Drosophila melanogaster: one gene and its partner. The protein of the gene in region 2 interacts with the protein of the main gene of each other region in a pairwise test. Each region holds a gene or a part of one and is shown on either strand. Other genes may lie near its edges. The genes, in order: wech and c(2)M.

What was found.
Region 1: the proteins of c(2)M (region 2) and wech interact in a two-hybrid assay, tested with the Drosophila melanogaster proteins (one study listed by BioGRID).

The regions. Positions count from the first base shown.
Region 1 is NT_033778.4:7,481,689-7,494,572, forward strand, and holds the start of wech (wech), read right to left. Parts: upstream 8,136-12,884; 5' UTR 7,645-8,135; intron 7,005-7,644; exon of another isoform or gene 6,768-7,004; intron 4,641-6,767; exon of another isoform or gene 4,480-4,640; 5' UTR 4,418-4,479; coding exon 4,197-4,417; intron 4,128-4,196; coding exon 2,174-4,127; intron 2,112-2,173; coding exon 1,959-2,111; intron 1,877-1,958; coding exon 1,706-1,876; 3' UTR 1-1,705. Other genes in the region: Coop (corepressor of pangolin), read right to left, coding at 9,361-10,193, 10,258-10,501; CG1620 (uncharacterized protein), read right to left, coding at 12,681-12,884. UniProt on the Drosophila melanogaster protein: Vital for larval development. Plays a role in tumor formation. A crucial component for the physical link between integrins and the cytoskeleton in the epidermal muscle attachment sites.
Region 2 is NT_033779.5:16,297,001-16,306,440, reverse strand, and holds c(2)M (crossover suppressor on 2 of manheim), read right to left. Parts: upstream 3,178-9,440; 5' UTR 3,090-3,177; coding exon 2,959-3,089; intron 2,880-2,958; coding exon 2,716-2,879; intron 2,660-2,715; coding exon 2,379-2,659; intron 2,320-2,378; coding exon 2,136-2,319; intron 2,082-2,135; coding exon 1,697-2,081; intron 1,645-1,696; coding exon 1,337-1,644; intron 1,279-1,336; coding exon 1,144-1,278; intron 1,087-1,143; coding exon 962-1,086; 3' UTR 501-961; downstream 1-500. Other genes in the region: CG5861 (uncharacterized protein), read left to right, coding at 121-482; GMF (glia maturation factor), read left to right, coding at 3,668-3,670, 3,830-3,923, 3,990-4,180, 4,236-4,364; CG17328 (uncharacterized protein), read right to left, coding at 4,833-5,948, 6,005-6,130; heix (heixuedian), read left to right, coding at 7,129-7,569, 8,248-8,886.

The DNA of each region.
Region 1 (12,884 bases), on a different chromosome or scaffold from region 2:
GCTAATACATTTCACAATCCACGCCTGGTCTCTACGCCTACACAATCGATCCTAGTCGGCGGCTCTACGCGTGTGTGTGTGTGTGCATGTGTATACATTTGCTATTAAAAACGCCCCACATCTAGACAGATAATTCAGCTAATTCATGCGTTGTCCATGACTTCATTAAGTTTCATCGTATTGTTTTCTTTTGTTTTGTTTTATTTGTTTCTTTTGCGAGGAACATGTCACCTAAATGTGTATTCAATACGCCCTTATATTGCTCTGGATTTTCCATACGTTTTCACTATGCCACGCCCGCTAAGTCTACTAAATGCTAATGAACACATTGAGTCAAAAATTATAACTTCTTCGTTATTTTGTTTCAGGTCTGTTTCGTTTACTTCCCAAAATGTCCCACTAATTTTAGCTAACCCCTCCCTCCTCCTCCTCCTCCTTTCAACCTGCCGTGAATCTGTATCCTGTGGCTAAATCCTTTCACAATAATTACAAAGTAACGACAAACGAAAAACAAAGCCCTGTGATGCATGATCGGTATGAGTGAGTGGATGGATGGATGGATGGATGGGTAAATATGTCGATGAATGTCAGTTAAACTCGGTTTCAGCTATGCCCATGATGATTCGTGACTGGATGATCGGATCTATATGATATCTGTATCGCTCTATATGCGCGAAAGTATGTATGTTAAGCTATGTTAAGTTACTTTACGTTATCAATGTCATTGCAATTTGAGTGTGTTGCTCTTTCACTTATTTTGGCCTCACCATATATGGTTCTTTAGTTGGCTCCGAAATTGCGGTTTAGTTAATCAGTCTTTGTATAAAGTTCAACGAAAAGTCAGCGGGTTCCATCAATATTTTCTTGTTTTTTGTTTGTTTCTTTGTTTTGTTTCGCTTTGCTTCCGTACACGCAAAGTTCGTGTTGTCAAATGCTCAGTCTCAATTATAAGGAAATCATTAAAATACATATGTATGTCCCAAAAAAAAAGTAATTTTAAAATAAACGAAAAACAGAACTGAACAAACGAACTATAAATATAATACAAACATTAATACCATACCATACAGTGTTTCTGCAAATCATGTTTAGTAACTCTTGTCGAATGTAGTTTCCTCATTCCGCTAAGCAAACCCGTAAAAAAAAACACAATCGCCACCTGACCTGGTTCGTACCTCCTTCTATCAGCTAGCAAACTGCCTTTCAGTCTAACTAACAGGTAATAATATTTTCATCTAGTAAATGGTTGAGTTCCCTCTTTGCATTATCTTTTACTAGGTTCGGTAACTCTACTGAATGCTCACGGACCCTACGTTTATATATATCTCCTAAATCCTACTCAACCGCCTGCCTTTCGCTTTAGTTTTTGTTTTTTGTTTTTGTTTTAGTTATAGTTCTAGTTGGTTGGGCTTGTATATTCGCTAGATATATGCATATGCGTATAGATATAGATATCCATAGATACATATGTGTAATTCGTATTGTATTGTAAATTACCAAATCGTAACCATAACTCTTAAGCAATATCGAGGTAATCGTTGTAGCACTTAAGCTAAAAATTTTCGCTAACTTTCATGATTTCAGATTTTTTCTTATTAAATCGGTTTCGGCACCTCCTCATAATCGTCATGTTATTTGAAACTCTACGCTAAGGTTTCGCTCTTGTAAATGGTCTAAAAAAAAAGATCGGCACTCGTGGCCTTATTTAGAATACGTGCACAAACCGCTTGTAAGGGTTTGACCCTTCCTTGGAGTCTGGCGACAGTTCAATGAGGAACACAATGCGACCGTCTGGCATTATGGCCACATCGCAAGTGCGATCTTTCTCGTCCAGCGTGGGCGGCATCAAGGGATTGATGGAGGGTCGCACCTCGATCTAAATTGGGGAACGCAATAATACCATGTTAGTGAGGTTCCAATACCCTGTTGGTTGATCCTAAGCTGAAAAGTGTACTTACATCCCACATAAAGTCCAGGTTCTGATTGAAGACCAGGATGCGTTGATTCTTTGAATCGGCCACTATAATGCGGCCCTCGTCGTCACAGCACAGGCCGGAGGGTCGATTAAATTCATGGAAGCCCGAGCCCTCATGTCCCTTCACGGAAAGAATCTGCAACAAGTTCAAAAGCGCATAAGCACCAATGGAACTAAGCTATTTACAATCATACATACGTCGTTGATGTCTGGATCAATCAGGTAGAGGCAGTGGTTGTCAAAGTCAGACACTATGATGTTGCCCGTCGGCGTGTAGCAAACGCCTCGTGGCGAGGCGATTCCTTTGGTTTGCCCATGGTTGTCGAACACTATCTGGCGGATGAAGCGACCCTCAGAGTCGAACTGCTGGATGCGATGATTGCGCGAGTCGGTAACCACAATTTGGCGGCGCGAGTTCACGGCCACATCCCACGGATACTGGAACTGGCCGTACTCCTTGCCGTAGCTGCCGAACTTGAGCAGGAAGACGCCGCTGGCGGTAAAGATTTGCACACGGTGATTGTCCTTGTCGACCACAATAATGCGATTATCAACGTCAACACAGATTCCAGCAGGCAGATCGAACTCTCCATTGCCCACGCCTTTACGGCCGAATTTGAACTTTAGGGAGCCATCGGGATTGAAGACCTGGACGCGATTGTTGCGGCGATCCGATACGAGAACGTGGCCCATTTTATCAACGCATAGACCCCATGGCCGGCTCACCTGTCCGTCCTCGTGGCCCTCGGTGGCGAAGGATAGCGAGAGAGCATTCGAGTTACGCACCTTGACCAGATCCATGCATCCCGGAATGGCCTGCGTGGTTCGCGGCGCACTGAAGTGTAATCCTGGCGAGCTGCGCAGTCCATTGAGTTCCCAATCAAGAGCAGCGCTGGACATCCCACTGGACATCCCACAGGCACTTCCTCCGCGTGGTTGCATTATGGGCGATGGAATCCGGAAGCTATTGTCTCGCAACAGGGGACGTCGCACACTTGAGGAAGCAACACTCAGCGGATTGTTGGGCATGTTCATGCCGAAGGCCAAGTCCAGGCCGTTTGACACGCCAACGCCTCCGACTACTCCAGCAACGCCTCCCACAACTCCCACGGAGGCCGCGGCCACGGCATTAACACTGGAGACGCTCGGCACAATTCCGTTGCTGCTAGAGACGATGGGCAAGTTCTTGTCGTCCACCAGGATAACGCCACCCTGGTTGCGGATATCCTGTAGCAGGCTGTAATCTGGTGGTGCGAAGGCAAAGACTTCCTGTTTTGGCTGCAGGTCCTTATATATGCCCGCAAACTGCTCCATCTGCCTCTGCCCATTGGTCAACTTCATGGCAATTTCAATCTGGTCCATGTTGCAGGCATTGTCCGCCACCTTGCTAAGCATATCGGACGTTTCGGAGAGTCCGGCGAGAGCAGACTTTAAGCCTGCCATCTGATCGTGTAGGATGGCCAGACGACGCTGGCGGAGCTTTTCCACAAAGTCCAGGAGGAAACGCTCGCGGTCCTCGATGGCAATGATAAACTGACGGAATGCCTTGCGTATATTATCGCTCAGCTCGCTGCAATTGCGCTCGATAAGCCGGATGAAGGCCAACGCTTTGTCAATGCTGCTCTTAATGCAGCGCGTGCCCACCTGGCTGCTCTCAATGGCGCCCTCCAGCTTCTCCTTCGAGCCCACCATAAAGCTTTGGATGGACGCGTAGCTGTGCTCCTTGTGCTCGTGCAGTGTGCAGCACTGACACACCAATTTCCGGCAGTAGTCACATACGTAGCGCAACATCTCGTTGTGTATGTCGCAGATAAAGTTGCCGCTGGGCGGAGTCTGTGCATTTACCGAGCTGCCACCCGTGGGCGAGGCTCCAATGGGCGTGGGCAAGGACACGATCGAGTGGTTGGAGGACAGCGGACTGTTGCGATGCTCCCTTAGGCAGTCGTTGCACATGAACTCGTTGCACTCCAGGCAGCGTATTGAAGCACTAACCTCGCACCAACCGCAGCTGATGCTCGAGTTGTTAGATGACTCTGGCGACATCTTCGGATTGCTGCGGGCACCGCTGCCAATGGGTCCAATGCTGAAGTCGCCATGCGTGTCCAGGCCGCCCAGGAAGTTATTGATAAAGAAGTCTGCGCGTGGTGGTGAGCTAGAAAAAAAAGTTGAAGAGTGATTTAAGTCGAGCCTCTCGAGATTTTTAATTGTGTTTCTATCTCACCTCTGGCCCACGTTGGGCAGTAGTCCCACGTTGAGGTCCCAGGCGGGAAAGCTCTCCAGGATGCCCGCCAGCAGTCGCTCGGAGGAGTTGCTGGCATTGCTGCTCACACTGCCGCCTCCACTTCCGTTGGCCGTTGAGGAGTGGGCCACATTGTTGGCGCTCGGCGCATTGCTGCTGGCCATTTGTTGCGGAACCGAATTGTTTGACAAAAGTTCCATCATAAGAGTGGTGAGATCACGTTTCTATAGCACAAGGCAGCAGTCAATGGAGTGGCGCTTTTCCGCTACAAAAATTAGTAAGATTTGCGAATAATTTTAGAGACGTTTGACGAAAACTCGAAGACGCGAAGAGCTCGTGGATAAAAATGTTTTGTGTTTTTTTTCTAAACTGCGTTTGGAACGCGCGGGACGTCGTCAGTTGCCGAAGGGTAGAACCTAACTAAATTGGCCAAGGAAAAGGTGCTTCATTAAGTAGTCCTAGGCAGGCAGTTGCAGCTGCATCTAGGCATCATCGTAGGTAGCGGGAAAATTCCCCGACCGCTTGCCTGCCTTCTTATGACCAATCCACAAGGCCGGATCCCCGACCCCTGATCCTTTAAGTAGGCCCGTCCCGAATCCGAGAAAAGCAATGCAACCCGAGAAAGGCAGCTGTGTGCCGCGCGGCAGCAGGTCAGATTTGTGTGTATCTTTTGTATCTGTAAGATACTTGGTTGCATTCATGCCATTGTCAAGTTCTTTGGAATCCCGGAATTTCGGAATTAGCCACGCATTTCCTAATTTACGAGCTAAAATGGCGAGTTTTCGCGCGCAATTCGGCGAACTGCCTGTACTCCTTAGATACTTTCTGTAACCCAGATACTAGAGTCGGGAAATTTCTCCCCAAAAACACGGGAAAACAAACTGGACTGGGATTAGAAACCACCCTCACGGGGCCCCACCTCAGCGCTCAACCTTATCACGTAGTTACAATATTTTCCTGTCTTTCCACCCACCACCTCGCTTCGCCAGCACTGCGCAAGCGACTTTTCCGGCGGGGAGAATGGGGTGGCAAACACAAAGCGACTACGTCATAAAACAACAGACGGAACTGGTTTCCATCTCTAAGACGAGGAGCGTAGACCCAATAAAACGACCGACTTTCATCCCTCCACCGGGTCAGGATTACGGAGCTGTTTCTTCCACACTCTGCGGAAAACTTGACGACAGGAACGTGTATTTCTTCCTTCATTCTGATTTTGGGTGATTTGAGTTAATTTATAGTATGACTTGAGGGGTAGCAAATCCAGTTTACGAATGGGGTTAAGGTGGAAAAGGGTTATTGAATGTCTGCGGGTTGAGTTTAGGCCTCCCGTTGCTCTCGTCAAGGAAAAATATTAAAGTCAAGCGATTGATGATTTTTGTCGATCTGTGGTGAAAACAATTTGCCTGGCAGTTCAGTTCTTATATTAAGATGCACTATGGCCCAGAATATATATTAATAAAAAGTTGGTGTAAAGGATCACACCCCTTTAAATGGATTTGCATTTCGATAAACAAGAACTTAACGAACTTGTTCGGTTTAATCAGTTCTAAGTAAAATTTTAAAGCAAACCAAATTGGAAATTTAAGCCAGGAAAATGTATATACTTAATGCGCAAATATGTTGATATTATTAAATAAACCCATTTTAAGGACAAGATTTTACGTTCCTTGAGTTAAGGTAACTTTGAATGTTATTACCGTTTTGACAAGGAGATTTTAAAAAACGACAAGATGTTAGGGATGTTTTAACATCTATGAATTAGCATTCTATAAAAAGAAAATACACTCCTTAAAGTGTTTAAAGGGAAATCACAACAACGTGAATTTCCATACCATCTGTAGTTTAAGAAAAGCGGTTGTGCGTAATGGTTGCGATTGGATTGCGAACAGTCCTGATGAAATCAATAAACAAACTCAGCTTTGGTACCCTTTTTTTCGGCTAAACAATGCAACGCCCTAGGAAAGGAATGCACTTCTAGGATATTTTCGAACCGTGTAGACAGCGGCAACAAAAACAAGGATAAGAAGAACAAGAGCAGGAAAAGGACTCCATGCAGAAAGAAGAGGGGGAGGAGAAGGAGGAGGCATCAGCGAAACTACCCTTGTCACCCTTGAACGTTTTCCATTGAAACGGGTCTGTCTCCGAGTCGCAGGACGTGGAAAAAACACGACCAAGAAGTTAAAGTCCTTTCACAAACACACAGACACACACATACACACACGGTTACAGCGCTACATTTGTGTTCGTGCAGCGAGGATACGACGCAAAAACATAGGGGGATGAGGACGAGGGTTGTATTCACACAAGTTTCTCTACATGTCCGTATGTAGGTGGTTTCTGCGCCGCAAATCGTCCGTATATTTGTGTATGTATATTTTCCAAAAACGGAAAAGCGTCGAGAGGAATCTTTTGGGAAATCTTGGGAGTAGTGAAAATCAATATTTGCATTTGGCAGCAATTGGACTAAAGTCTATTTATCAAATTCTGTTGATAGTGGCACGCTCGTGCCTCCTCTTTCGCTCTCTACGTGCATCTCCTTCGCGTACACACCTTTTTTAGCAGCCGCATGCAAGACGCTTGGCTTTTGTTGTTGTTGGGTCGCGCGTTCAGTACCGATTTTCGCTAATTGATTCGATTTTTAATTTGATGCGGTGCGGATTCCGTTTTGAATTGGCTTGGCTTTGCCTTTTCAGCGGATTTTCGCGAGGCGAAATTCGTTTTCCAGAGAGTTCTTATGCGTAATCCGTTCGCTCCGACAATCGTGTATTCCTTATTCCGACTGAAGAAGATACATCCGAAACCGAAACTGAAAACACAACATAACACTCGAGTCGCTCGCTCTCTCTCTCTCTCTCTATCTCTCTCTCTGTTGCTTTTGCCGCTCATCAACATCATCATCATCGCCTATGTAGCCTAAACAAAATATAAAAAATAAACCCAAATGTATCTCACAGTTTGTTTTTTAATTTTGATGTGCGCGCGCGCTCCAAAACCGTCGCTCTCTCTTTCGTTTCGCCCGCTCTCTTCTTTTCCTATTTCTTCCGCTCTCTGTTTCTCCTTCGCAGGGCGCACGGACACAGGCACACTCATGCACGGGAGGCTCACATGCACATTTTATCTTCTATTTATTTTCACTTATGCCGCAAAGAACTGCGTTTAATACAGAGGGTCGATGCAGAAGTTTGGTCAGATGTACTGTTACTAACCTCAAACAATCGAATCGCTTGATGGGGCATAACGGCTAATAGGATAATGGCGTCCGCTTCGGTCCAGGGTATCAGGGGCGTATGGGTCCTAAACAAGATTTCCTTTTATGCGGATTACACAGCTAACATTTCCCCCAACAAACTTAGTTAATAGCACTGAATTGATTTACGCACATATATTATGCTAACTTAATTCGTGCCCCATGGCTTTTTTAACTCACTTGTCAAATTCATTCACTCTACGCGGTCCTAGGGTATCCCATAGTCGTCACTCCACTTCAATTCGATTTAATCGTCAGTTCTTATTCGTTTATTATGCGAGTGTTTGATCGATGTAAAAAGCTGGCAAACTCTTTGAAAATCGCTTATCGTCGCTGTGCTTACAGATTGTTTACATTTTCCAAGCGTTTTCGGGCGAATCTTATTTACCCTTGGTTCCACCCTCGTGCACTTTTCCTTCTGCAAGCGAACGAGAAATCGAAAAAATCCATGAACAATTATTCCTATTGTGCGCCTGCTTCTTCTTCCAATTACTTTGGCGGCGTGTTTTAGCTGCAGTCTGCGGTGGCGCCCAGCTTTTTGTTTGGCCCAATCGAACGGCTCCAATTCTGACCCACTTATTGCGGCGGGGACTAGGATTCGAATTCGGCTCAAAATCTTCACTCCAACCTTCACGCACGCATTTAACCATCAAACTGCAAAACTCACGTTCATGCGCTCGCCGCTGCCGTTGCCTCTTCCTCTTCTTCTCTGCCCGGCTCTCTCGTTACGACGCTGCCCTTCTGCTGCTGCTGGTTTTTGTTGTTTTTGTCATTCGCGCCCCTGTTCGTTCAGGGTATCGCGGGCATAGCCGAATTGGAGGTTTAGTTTTTGATCCTCACAATGGCTGGTCACACTGATTCTGCTAACTGTTATATTTCAATTTTTATAAATAGTATAAATGATTATAATAAGTATAAATGATGGTCAATGAATGGCCATGAACATTTTTGTGATTACAAATCAGAGGGGAATCATACTGCTGAAATTAAAAGGAATTTTAAATTAAAATTAAATAGTGTTTCACCTTAAATTTTGGAATTCCAAATGAGTTCCGAAAAGACAAAACAGCATTCAACATTTTAACAACAATGCATGAACCACTAAGAATTTTTATGGATTCTGCGTCTAAATTTCAGACTCTACTCATTAGAAGATGAGCTTTCTGTTTAGCGAAAGTTTTTGAAAGTTAAACTCCATCCAATTGGACCCTATTAAGCAAATCGCAGAACTGTTAAGCCCGCCATTATTCAACGAAAGCTTTGAATCATTTTTAAAACATGGGGAGATGTTTTCAGGCAAAAAACACAACACACCAAAAGGGAATTATCAAGTTGCCTAGGCTCGACCAAGTTTCGCCCATCCGGAGCGCATTGTGATTGGTGAGCGGAGAGAGCGAGCGAGAGCGCGGTACATTAGCATTAACGGCGCATGTGGCGCGAAAATGCGGAGGGAATCACCTTGTGGTTGTTGTTGTTGCCGCGTGCACCACCCTTAAAGAACTTGTTTTGCACTGACAGAAATTTTGAGCCGCCCGTGGCTGGAAAAATGCAATTGCAACAGTGACCGTGGATAATTGGGAACTCGAACTGCGGGCGGGGTGCGCAGGTAAAAGGCGCAGGTGCACCGGAGCGCAGATACAGGTAAAAGTGAGCGGTTATCCTGAGGAAGAAACAAGTAATCATGCTGGCGTGATCGTCTATTTGAAGTGTAAATATGTATTGTAATGCAATATGGTATGTATTGAAGTGTGTTGGTATGAAGGAAAGCAGGCCGGAATACTGATTACATGCTACGTATGTAGGCAGATTCACAGAGTTAGTCAGTCGCGTTCTTATAATACTGTAAGCTAGGCTTATAAAGTAAATCTCCCCACATTCCCCCGGATATACGCGTCCTCAGCCAAACTCCAGTTCCTCGATGAGCACGTTCTGTAATTTCTGGCGCACGCGCAGACGCCGGCGGCTGTCCAATCTTTGCAGGAAGGGCATCAGACTGAGCAGGAACATGCGATCCGCCTCGTCCTGGAGATCTCCACCAGAGGGATCCGTATTCGTGGCCACATCCGTGCTGATATACTTGAATGGCAGATCGGCGGTGGGTGACTGCGAATTGGAGAACACCTTGGCCTCCTGCTCGCTCTTCAGGCTGGATCCGCCGTGGCTAGTGTTATTCGCCTTGGTCTTGGTCACCGCCTGCTCCATTTCGTCGTCGTCATCGAGCACTTCTATGGTGAATACACCGGAACTGGCAGCATCGGCACGATTGCCGCGTTCCTCTTCCAAGTTCTCCGAGGCGGCATCTTCGTCGAAGTCATCGTCATCCTCCTCGTCCTCCTCCCTCTGACTGGGCTCCGACTTAAATCTCTTATTCTCCGGCGGCTGGCAGTCGCGATCCTCGAAGAACGAACTGATGTCCGAGAAGCTGGGCTGGTGTAGCTCCGAGTCATAGCTGTGGCTGAGCTCGCATATGGGCTCCGTAGCAACAATGGGCATTGAGTCATACTTGTCCGGCCCCAGCACATTATTGTTCTCCGTCCAGTGTCCGGGTGGGTGCTTCTTGCTGCTGCTTCGCGTCTGACGCATGATATTCTCGTGAACGGCGGGCTCCATGAACCGCATATCGTTGTAGAAGCGCCACGACGAGGGCGTCTCATTGGACAGGTTATTGCGGATGTACACCTTGCGAAAGTTGTCCCTCAGGTGGCCCCACTTAATTCGGCAGATGTCGGCTGTGAAAGGGGGGAGTCATTTTAGCGGAAAGCGCAGAGGAGAAATAGTCAGCCATACACTCACCTGGCAAATTCACATCCTGACCCACCTCGAACCAAACAGGCGTGATGTCGCTGCGCTTCTGGCCATTGGCATTGTTGCGCAGCCACAACATCGGACGTCGTGAGACGGCGGCAATCAGGCGCTTCACCGTTTCGATGGGCAGCTTGGCGGTGTTGGTGAAGGCGAAGGAGGCGGTGGCAGAGGCGGCGGCAGAAGCAGAGCCGACGGAGGCCGCCGACGATGACGCATTGTAGGCCATCTCCATGTCCAGATCCGAGTGGCCAATTTCCGATAGCCCGATAGCTAGTTAGCCAGATCCAGTTCCGATTCCAACTCCGAGTTTCCCGGCAAGCGACTCGCGCAGCTCAAGCGTTCAGGCAGCACTGAAAATACGAAAAATACGGGCACCACGAAGTGTACGGCCCAGCCAGCAACAACCAGTTTACGTGCCTTTTGGCGGTGCCGAGAGAGAATTGTGGAAAGAGCGGACGGAGCTGGTTGCGACGGCACAGGCAAAGGCGAAGGCGGAGCTGCGGGATCGGGAAGGAGGAGAGAGGCTTGAGCAACAGGCTTTGCCACGAACAGAAGACCCAAGAAGAGGAAGAAGAAGCAGGAGAAGCAGAAGAAGAAGAAGCAGGCGCAGGCGAGGCGGCAGAACAACAACTGAGCTGCCTGGCAATATTATCCGGATGTTAAGCTTCCGCTGCGCTGGCCGCAACTCTGTGTCGTATTTGCGCTTTTTACGGTTGTTAACTTCGCCATTGTGAGCCCACCGTAACGAATCTAATATGCTCTGCACCGAAAACGGCTATTGCAATAGAATTCCACCCGTACAGCGACTTGAGCGGACATGTCACGCGCTTTAGCGGTAAAAGTCTTTACATAGAGCTCTATGGCCCACCCTCCCGTTACGCGAAAGGAGATCCTTTTCCAGGTGACCCAGCCGCAGAGACTGGAAATTCATAGTGTAGCGTATAGAGAGCGGTGTAGTGTACTTTGTTTATTTTTATCAAAACTGGATTTTACTACGGTCGGCTGGCTGGGTCGCTTGGAAATGGAGCTGGAGGGAACGTACAAAATTCACGCCACGCCAGTGGAGCCACCGCCACAGCGCACATACATATGTACATTTCTATATACAGACGAGGGTGTGTGGGAACAAAAGCTCCAGCTGGAACGATCGTGAGCCTGGAACCGAAGACTGTATCCGTTGTCTGTATATGTGTACACACGTACATATTAATGTTTATACGTGTATGCTTGCACGTTTCGGGTTGAGTCTCCTCTTCTTGGGACTGCGAAAATGCAAGTGAAGCAGACATGACAAGTGGCGACCGGGGTTATTTATCAGATCTTCTGTAGCTTTGCGGTTGGGTTTCAGCCTGACATTTGATCCTCGCCGCAATTTATACTCGTCTTTCTACCCACAGTGCGAAAAACACACACACACATTCGTATGCACAATGTACGTGGACAGACATGCGGCCAATAAATGGGAATCCAACACCGTAATTGGCCATTTTCAAGAACGCCTTGCAAAGAAAACTGGGGAAAAGATACAGACATACCTAAGTATCTATGTATACGAGATATGTATGTATATTTATACGGACCGGTTCTTTGTTTCCGATCCGGTTAACTTTTAGGGAATACGGAGTACGATTGATCTTTCGTTAAGATGGTTATTTGAAATCCGTCAGCTTGTCTTTTAAGTAGCGATTAAACTAATGCATATTTGATAAAATTTGGTTAATTTTCGTTTAAATATTGTTTCTTCTATATGTAAACAAAGGCTTTTAAAGGGGAAAATACTAGGCCGAATAAATTAATAATATGATGCATACTTTGTTTTGAACCAAATAAAATAAATCATGCTCATCTAAGATATCTAAGATGTACTTTTATGTAATATTAGTATCTGATTTGTAGCGAATCTTACCTGTGAGTCTACAAAGCTTTCGATGTACATATATATTTATCTTTTCTGATCATACATTACTTTCGTAAATTGAGAATTGAAATTCATTAAATTATTGGAGGTTTTAAAACATTTGGTCAAATATCGACAAAACAATAGAATTGACTTTACAGATATACATATTACATTTATTGACATTCAACGAAACTCAAGGATTGAGCGAAAATATATTGTATATATAAGCGATAAGTACTTGGTTCCGGAATCCACACGCACATGTAACAAATAGACGAATCGCACACTTAACAATAGAGAAATTCTTTACGGGTTATGAGAGATGTCGATTTAAGAATCTGGAATATATATGTTTAGACATATGGTATATACTACACGTACAGTATGCATATTTATAGTGAGTGGTAATGGTAATGAAGCGCCCTGCAAATACATCGCCTGGCCCAACCGAATCGAAAGCGCCTGCGCTCGGTTATGATAATGATGATGGTGATTGTGATAGAGATGTCGTTTACACTGTGGACAGGCTGGGTTCTTCCTCGACGTTGTTGTCCTCGTCCTCCAGGGGCAGAGATGCGGATGAGCATCGCTTTCGGTTCCCCCCGGAAGGATTACCTACCGCCTGACTCCCGGTCATAATAGAATAGCTCTTAGAGGCGGGTTTTCGAGGACTGGCGATGGTATCCTTCTCCAGGGCAGACAAATCCCCATTGCT
Region 2 (9,440 bases):
TTCAGATATATTAATGTTACAAGAGCCAATGCCTACTCAACCTTTAATACCCCAACCCATATATGTATGACAACTTCCAAAAATTTAGTAAAAACTAAATATTTTCGTATACTTCCGCAGGGGCCACCGCCGAAGTGATTCTTTCCCGAGGTATCATGCTGTGGGTGGGTGCCCGAGGCACCGAGTTCAGTTGGATCTACATCCTCAAGTGTCTGGAATCGAACGTGCTTCTGGTGCAGCACATCACTACGGCCACCCTGATCTGGCTCTTCACCCGTCACGATTTGAACAAGGCATTAAAGCCGCTGGTTAGTCTACTTCTGGCGGTGACTGTCTTCAAAGGCGTCTGGCTGGAGGGCATGCTCCACATTCTGACCATTGGACCTTGGCTAACGGTGGCTGTTAAAGCGCTGGTGGCGGCCGTCATTGGATTCTGCACGCTGCACATCTATTCGGGTCTGGCCCAGCAGATCGGAATTTAAGCAATTGTGCCAAACACTCTGTATTCCTTTGTTTTTGTAACTTGTTTATTTTTTGGTGTTGTCAGAGAAATTGAGATTTTGTAACAAAGACAACAATTACGGTTTAGAGAATTACTCCAAATGTTAATGAATTATAGCTACGATAACGTAATAGTAACAAAGATAACAAACAACTTTTAATGGGTACACGAAACTAATATGATAATGAAAAAAAAACTATTTTTATAGACAGCAACAAGTAACATCTATAGAATTTTTCAATTCTTGAAATGAAACGAATTATCCAGGACATCGTTGCTCAATTGTACCATAAGATTGTATGGAAAAAGAGTAGATTAAAGCCATCTAGGTTAGAGATTGGCTCAACTTATATGTTATAACACAATAGCAATAACAGAAAACAAAACAACAACAAAAATGTGGAAGATTGTCAACTACAAAGTTGTTTGGTAATCTTGAAAAAAATTATCTAAAAATATTCACAGAGTCTCACTCAGCATAAGATTGTCTATTAGCTTAGCGGACTCTTTGCCAAGAGTAATTTGGTACATTTCCAGCGAATTAGCTCGCTTTGATATCTCTATAAAATGGTCTCGAACAAGATCTGAAATTTAAGCTATACGTTATTTCCAACACACATTTTGTTCTTTTTCGAACTCACACAACAAATGGAGAAAGGCTAACGAAGCCTTGATGCGACTATCAAACGTTTTTATAAAATCAATGGCATCGATTCCCGTGATTTTCGGATTATTACGCCAAATGCTTAAGAGACTCATCATTACGCTGTAGGTATCTGCAATGAGATTATATTTTATTTACGATAGCATGTTGTAAACATTGGCTGAACTCACCATCATGATTATCCTCACGGTATATGCCGTGCTCATTCATTTCATTATGATAATTCTGATTTACATCATCACGTGGCTGAAGTTGAGGTTGCACACAGTCTTCCACTTCAAGCGGTTCGGGCTGATAGATATGTGCCGCTTTATCCCTACATTTTGTAGCCTGCGATGGTCGCACAAATATCTCTTTAGAAAGATTCTCGGTAAACTCGCAGCCAAATATGGTTCTCAATGTGTTTTCTGCCTCGAATTCCTTTTCTTCATTACTGAGCTTAGGTCCGGAGTGGTTATGAAGAGCTAAAAAACTTACACTACATCAAAAAATTAAAAAGTTTTAAATAGCAAAATGTATAAGGCTCCTACTTATTATACAGTTTACAGAGAAGTTCCTTAGGGGGTTTCCGTAAATCCGAGGATTTTGGCACTATCACATTCCTTGAAAGGTATTCTTCCATATATTTCTGTCTATGCTTCACCAGCTGCTCCCGGGTGTATTCAATTCGTTTGTCTACTATTAGCTTTCTTTTCCGATTTTTCGGGTGGCTAAATGTTATTTCTCCAAAAGAATTTAAAACGGATGGCAACGACGGTTCACAAACTATCTGAGTTACTTCAGCTGGTTCAATGTTATGCGGAAAGATTTGGGTCATGATAGCATTGTCAGCTTGGAAAACATCGCAATCATCCAATCTGGGCATTTTATCCGGTAAGATGTCAGTTGGATCCTGAGCTATTGAGTGTCGCTTTACTATAATACAAAAAAATAGTTTATTACATTTTCAATTGAATTGAGAATTCTTACGTGAGTTCCGTGTGCCATCTTTGGGGTAAAGCTCTTGAAAAATGGTTAAGTCCGCGCCCTCGGCTTCGCCAAAACCATTTGATGGCATAATTAAGCTATGATCTTCGGGAAGTTCAATCTCTTCGGTGATTGTAATGGAATGATACGACTTTGACTGAGTGCAACTCCGGGGTTGTTCAATAGACTTTTTGCGAAAAATGAAATCATATAAGGAAGCAGTCCAACAGTATATTGACGACTAACCTCGTTCAGGTCCTCCACCACCTGTTGTGTGCACTCCGTTTGCCACATCTGGCATTCGGATAGCATCTTCTCGTAGTATTCATGTGAGAATTCATCCAATAGATCCGATTCCTGCAGTCTGGGACGTTTTGATACTGTTACTTTAGATTTCTTGGTGATCACCCGCTTTCCTTTGCGTTGGATTCGAATCTCTGATTTGTTGACCACTACGGATTTTGTTGTGGTGAGAACGTAATCCAAGTTGGTACGTGTACATTGGTCAAGTAATACCTTCGTGTCCCCTGTAAGAATTCGTGATTATATATCAATGTTACGTAATATTCGGACTAATACTTACCCAAAAGTAGATCCACTTGGCATCTAAAAATATCCGCAACTCCAAAAACCAAGCGGGAAATGTCCTTGAAAATAACATTTTGCCGGTTTCTTGCGGCCAAAACATTGGATCGTTTCTGGCGTTTTCTTAATGCATTTTCCTCAATTAATTCGGTGATTTGCTTGCTGAAATGTAGATAAATGTTGAAAACAATTGAATATAATGAAATGTTAAAAAAATTCATTATATTTAATATTTAATTACCAGCAGGCGACTACATCCACATCAGCGATCTCATTTCGATTAAGTTGGCCAAATGCCGATTTCCTCGGTTTGCGCCCTCCCGCTTTCCAGCAGGAATTAAGGATGTTGCTCTCATATAAATTCAAGCTCATTGTAACTACGACATTAAGCACATAGATTATAGTATTAACTATTTATAAGTTAGTGCTCTCTGTAACAACCCTAAAGTAACGGTACTTTTTTGACAGTCCATCAGCCACTAGAGAGGACAAACATGATCCAAATATCGTATACGAACGATTTTTACCTACTATAAAATAATGATAAGTTTTAAGTATATCTACAAAACATTTTTAAAAAAGAGCGTTCCTATTTCAATCTAAAAAATACATTTCAATTATTTTTAATAAATTCCATAAATAATACCAATGTTGCCGTAAAGAAAAAAGCTTAATGAAAAAAAAACCTTTAGCAAATATTGTTATTATTTTTTAATTTATCAGAAACGTCGTTTAACAACACTTCACATATTTTTGATGCAGCACAGAATATTATTTGGCGTTCAGTGAACGGTCTCACTGCAGGAACAACAAAACAAAACTCAGAATAAACGACAGTATTTAAACGATTCCTTAAGGACAAGTGATATTGCATTCCTACAATTAACTGCCAAAAATTCGGTAGTGCAGCACACTTTACAGATCGCATCCCTAACTTCATAGCTAAAGTTATGGTAGGAAGTGTATATAGGGTCGGAAATCAATTACCAAAATGAAAACATGACTAATAGAGTGTGGGCGTGTTTTTGTTTTTGTTTTTCAATCGACGATTGTTGTTAGCAGATAACTTTGGTGATTCCAATTCATTAATCAATTATATCGATTTCATACAGAGTGATAACCAGATATGCGACATAAGCAACGAAGTTCTGGAGGAATTGAAGAAGTTTCGATTCAGCAAGAGCAAAAATAATGCGGCTTTGATATGTAAGCCTTGATTGTCATGGTAACAGATGTGTGTAGTTTTTATGACCACTCCATTGTCCCTTGCAGTGAAAGTCGACCGGGAGAAGCAAACGGTGGTGCTGGACGAGTTCATCGACGATATTTCGGTGGACGAGCTGCAGGATACATTGCCAGGACACCAGCCCCGATATGTCATCTATACGTATAAAATGGTCCATGACGATCAGCGCATTTCGTACCCAATGTGCTTCATATTCTACACACCCAGGGATAGCCAGGTGGGAGTTTAGCAATGCTCAAATATATTCTATAATTCATAACTCTCTGTTTCAGATCGAATTGCAGATGATGTACGCCTGCACGAAGAGCGCTCTTCAGCGCGAAGTAGATCTCACACGCGTCTACGAGATACGCGAACTAGACGAACTCACCGAGGAGTGGCTGAAAGCCAAGCTCAAGTAGAGAGGTTTCGATCTCTGGGATCAATCAATCCGGGCCGTTGTCAAAAGCAATATTTTATGATAGTTCTCTGATTGATTTTTGAGCTTTTTATATACATATTCAAACTGGATTAAGCCGATACCAACGATGCATACCAATACCAAACAAACCAATATTGAGATACTACAATTTTTACCTACAGAAAACACAAATCAAGCTTAGTTTATACAACAATGACATTTTTATATCGACGACAAGTATGCGACAAGTACGCGCGGGGAGTTTTTAGTGATTTTAGTTCTTGCATTTAAGTAATAATCTTAATAGAAGCTGTGCTTGCCAAATTTCTACATGTATTTATTGTAAAGATATAAAAGCAAACATGACAAAATATTCCATTTTATATAGACAAACTAAATAAAAGTGTTCAATATCAAAACATAATCTAAAACAATAATTATGATTAAGATAAATCTTCGTAGCTATACTCTAATAATGTAGTCTTTGTGCCGCCGTGTGGTGCAGCATAGTGTAACGTCCTTCACTTGGCGTTGGCGGTGGAGGCGGCGGCGGTGCCAACATGTGAGCCATTGCAGCCATTCCCATTTGTGTGGCGGGATTCGGTGGGCCGAGATGATGCAGTGCATCGTGATGGTAGTGATGCGACATAGGTGGTGCAGGAGGCAACGGCAAATTCAGTAGATTATTATTCGCCGCATGCGTGCGAAAATGTAGACTTAGGCTGTCCGCCGTATCAAATGCCTTGTCGCAATCCGGACACTTGAAGTGGGCGTGATCGAGGGTGTCCAGACCCACGGGATCCGTGTCTATAGCCTCATCATCATCATCATCCACTATATCATGGTTTGTACTGGACTCCAGAGGATGAAGCTTCAATTTATGAGTCCGCATATCTCTTCGCCTGCTGAAAGCCTTGCCGCAGACATCGCAGTGATGGTTTTTGATGCCCGTATGGGTTATCATGTGCTTGGAGAGATCACCGGCGGTGTAGAAACCTTTCTGACATAGCGAGCATACCTGATCCCGCACTCCTAAATGAATCTTCTGGTGCGCCTGGAAATTGCCTAACGCGGAAAACTGCTTTGAGCAGATCTCACACTGAAAAGGCTTGTCGCCCGTGTGCGTTCTTTCGTGGACTTTAAGATTGTACTTTTGGGCGAATCTCTGGATACAAAAGCTGCATTGGTAGGGTTTCTCGCCAGTATGTGTTCTTATATGCTGTGTTAATTGGGCAATGCATTTGAAGCTTTTGTGGCACTCGTAGCAGGTGTGGGGCATCTTTGGCACAGGTTTGGGCCCCCGTTTTTTGTGCTCTTCTGGCGGCTTTCTTTGATAGCGCGACCGCCTCTTGCTCACTTTGGCATCCACGGGTTCCTCTTCATCGCTATCGCGCTGCGGAAGCAACGGCTTCTCCACAAAGTCCGTATTGGTGGCCGCATCCTGGCGCCAGGATTCCAGAATGCCCAGATATTGTCGCAGTCGGAGATCACTGTTTTCGCATTCCTGCTTGAAGTGGAAGGCCACCCCCAGCCGGTAAATACAGTTGTTGCAGATCACCGAAGGTAGGCCATCGGTTTTAAAAACCTAAAACAATTTCCATATGCCAATTAACATTGAAATATTTTGTTTTTAGAACCCACTCTTATTTTAGCGCATTGCATCAACATTACGGAGGGCATCATAGCAAAGTCTGTACTATATATCGAAGTTACAGGATGTAGTTCCTCCAGGCAAACTCTGCATATTTTGTGGATATTATAGTCCATGTTTTATTTCAATTTTATAGAAATCAACAAAAAAATTATTGAAAATTTTGCTCTAAACTCCTATCAGCTGATTGGGACCAGGGCTGCAACGGTACAGTCGTAACTCTAGCTTGTGAAACAAATCTATCATATATGATTAAATTTGTTTCGCGTGTTTAAAATGAATTTCATACTCAATGTGGATTCATTTCCGCAAATATGCAAAAGATATAGTAATATTTTGGTGAGCTACTTCAACTACTAATTACGTTGATAAGTGTTGATAACAATGATTACATAAATATTTAAAACCCACCTTTGTTTTACGAATTATATAAAAAATGCACATACATGTACCGCTAAATATTTATTGCATATTATCTGAATTATTTTCATTTATGAAATTTGGGTAAAAACTGTAGGAATAGGCAGGGCTGCACATGCGATACGGCGTTGCCACCTTCAACGAAAAAGTGTAACCTTTTTTCGTTTTTGCGCTGACGTGACGTGACAGTTGATTTGTTTGATTAAAATAACTAAGAGTAAAATCGCAGCCAAATCGATTTGCGCCACTAACCCGGAATCGATAGCCGGAAGCAAAGACGCAGCCGGAAAAGGAGAGGCATATAAGAAGAACGATCCTCGCACCGGTCGAGGAAAAGAGAGAGAGAGAGAGGGGCAGCGAGAGAGAGAGAGCGTGAGAAACTGGGAGCTGCACGGGTGAAATTTCGTGGTTTCGGGACCCCGACCACCTGAGCTCTCCACCCCCCGCTGATAATATACATATCCCCGCATATATTCCCCACTTTCAAGATGCTGTGTATACAATATTAGCGATTATCGAGACCAGGCAGCGCATGTGCCGGCATCCAAAAAGGCACAAATTGAATACTTTAACTATTGTAAACAAATTCTGGAGAGGAGGTGACCAAGGTCAAACAATCCGACGAATACGAATACCTGGCGGCTAGTCTCGTTTCACTCCACCGCAAAGTGCCAGTTAACCAGTGCCGCTTGCCATGGCCACAAGCAGCCAGCTGTTGCCCAATGGCAACTTGTCCAGGAATGGCAAGACCAAGACAGAGGACGGTGAGGAGGTGGAAGCCGTTGTTGGAGCTCGTGCAGCAGGTGCAGATGCCGGAGTAGCACTAACGGGACGACTAACAGGACACCCATCCACATCCGGAACGTTTATGAAACTGAAAACCTATCTCCTAGCTCTGCGTCCCTGGTCGCTGTCCGCCAGTCTGGTTCCAACGCTGCTCGGCTCAGCCCTGGCCTACCGCTCCCAGTGGGCGGAGGAGTTTTCGCTGGCCACCTTCTTTCTCACCGCCTTCACCGTGGTCACCGTCCACTGCGCCGGCAACGTAGTTAACACCTATTTCGACTTCATCAAGGGCATTGACAAGCAGAAAGCCGACGACCGCACGCTGGTGGATCACATACTCACCAAGGATGAGGTGAGCAATCGAACGGATGGATCAATCAAGCCAATAGAGTGCAGATCCGTCCATAGAGCATAGAGCCTACTCTTATCCTTCGGAAAGTAAAACTTCAAAAAAGTAAAATTCAAACATTTTTCGATTTTTCTGACGTGTTCACCAAAATTCCACATTTGCAAATACAGTATTCCGAAAAATCAAATTATATGCAAAGAAACTCGCGAGCACTTCTAAATCTTTAATGGCAAAACGTGATATTTAAATTCAAATTTGTCAGTGGCGAAGCAAAGATTCTCAAATTTTCTTTTTAAATTAACAAAAACAATTTTAAACACCTAAAATATTTGAAAATGCATTCAGTGTATGTGTGTACATTTCAGATGAACAGAAATTAAATTAGTTTTATATACGTTCAGAAAAAAACGTGCCGAAATCATAAACCATTTTGGAAGCGAAAACAATATCAAGAATTGGTAGCAATTAGCAAGGTACTAATTCAAATCAAGGGCAAATATATTAGAGAGTATTCAAACAATAATACTTTTAAATTTATAATTTTATCGAATTTCTATAGGACAATTTTTTCCGTTTTATAATGGAATTTAATTGGAATATGCATAAATTAATTATGACAGCATGACAGCAGATTTAATCCTTATCCGCAATTATAAATAATAAATATTTGTTAATTTGCAGGTGGTATCGCTGGGTGCCATTCTGTACATGGCTGGCTGTGGAGGATTTGTTTTGCTGGCTGTGCTCAGTCCGGCGAAAATGGAGCACCTGGCACTGATCTACTTCGGGGGATTGTCCTCGAGCTTCCTGTACACCGGAGGCATTGGTTTCAAGTACATCGCCCTGGGAGATCTGGTTATACTGATACTCTTTGGACCCATCTCGGTGCTATTCGCCTTCATGTCGCAAACAGGTCATTTGGACTGGACGACAATGGGCTATGCGATTCCTTTGGCTCTCAACACGGAGGCCATCCTGCACAGCAACAACACAAGGGATGCGGACAACGATCGCCGGGCTGGAATCGTAACGCTCGCCATTTTGATAGGCCGTACAGCATCGCACGTTCTGTATGCCATGCTGCTCTTTGCACCCTACTCATTGTTCTTCATCTTCGGTTTGAAGTACTCTCTGTGGTTCCTGCTGCCGCTGGTAACCCTGCCGCAAGCGTTCCAGATTGAGAAACGTTTCCGCAACGAACAGACGATGCATCTGGTGCCTCGGCAAACAGCCAAGCTGAACTTCTTTTTTGGCATCTTGTACGTGGTGGCCTGCTGTTGTGCCCATCAGTTGCCCACCTTTGGATTGCGAAGAAATTGATAGACGGGTTAAACGTACGGATCTGGCGGAAAATCTGAATCAGTGAGAACCTGGTGCAATGTTTTAGGGAATTTCATTAGGTTTTAGTCAATGTGAGTAACATAAAGGATGGGAGAATGAAGCTTTGTCAGCTTCTCACAGTTTGACGTTGCGCAAATTTCGAATGCTGCTAGTCGCCCGTTTGATTCTAAACTTTTGAACTGAACATATCCTAGCCCTAATGGGTCGATTAACTTGAGAGAAAACCTATGGTTAATGTAAGACATTTTGAAATACGGATTACAGTCCTAGTATCAGCTTAACAGTTTACTATTTCGTTTCCAAACGATAATCCATAGGCATTGTGCAAACATAAATGGAATTTAATCCAATTGGATAAGCTAAAAAGTCTCTAACCAAATGCATACTTAAAATAAATATTAACATTATTTGGCAAATATTTTGATAGTCAAATGTTAAGATCTGAAACATTTTATTTGCTTTCAAGTTGTTTAAACCAAAAGTATGATATTAGACAATTAATTTCTATGTCAAAAATTGCTTAAATTGCCCAA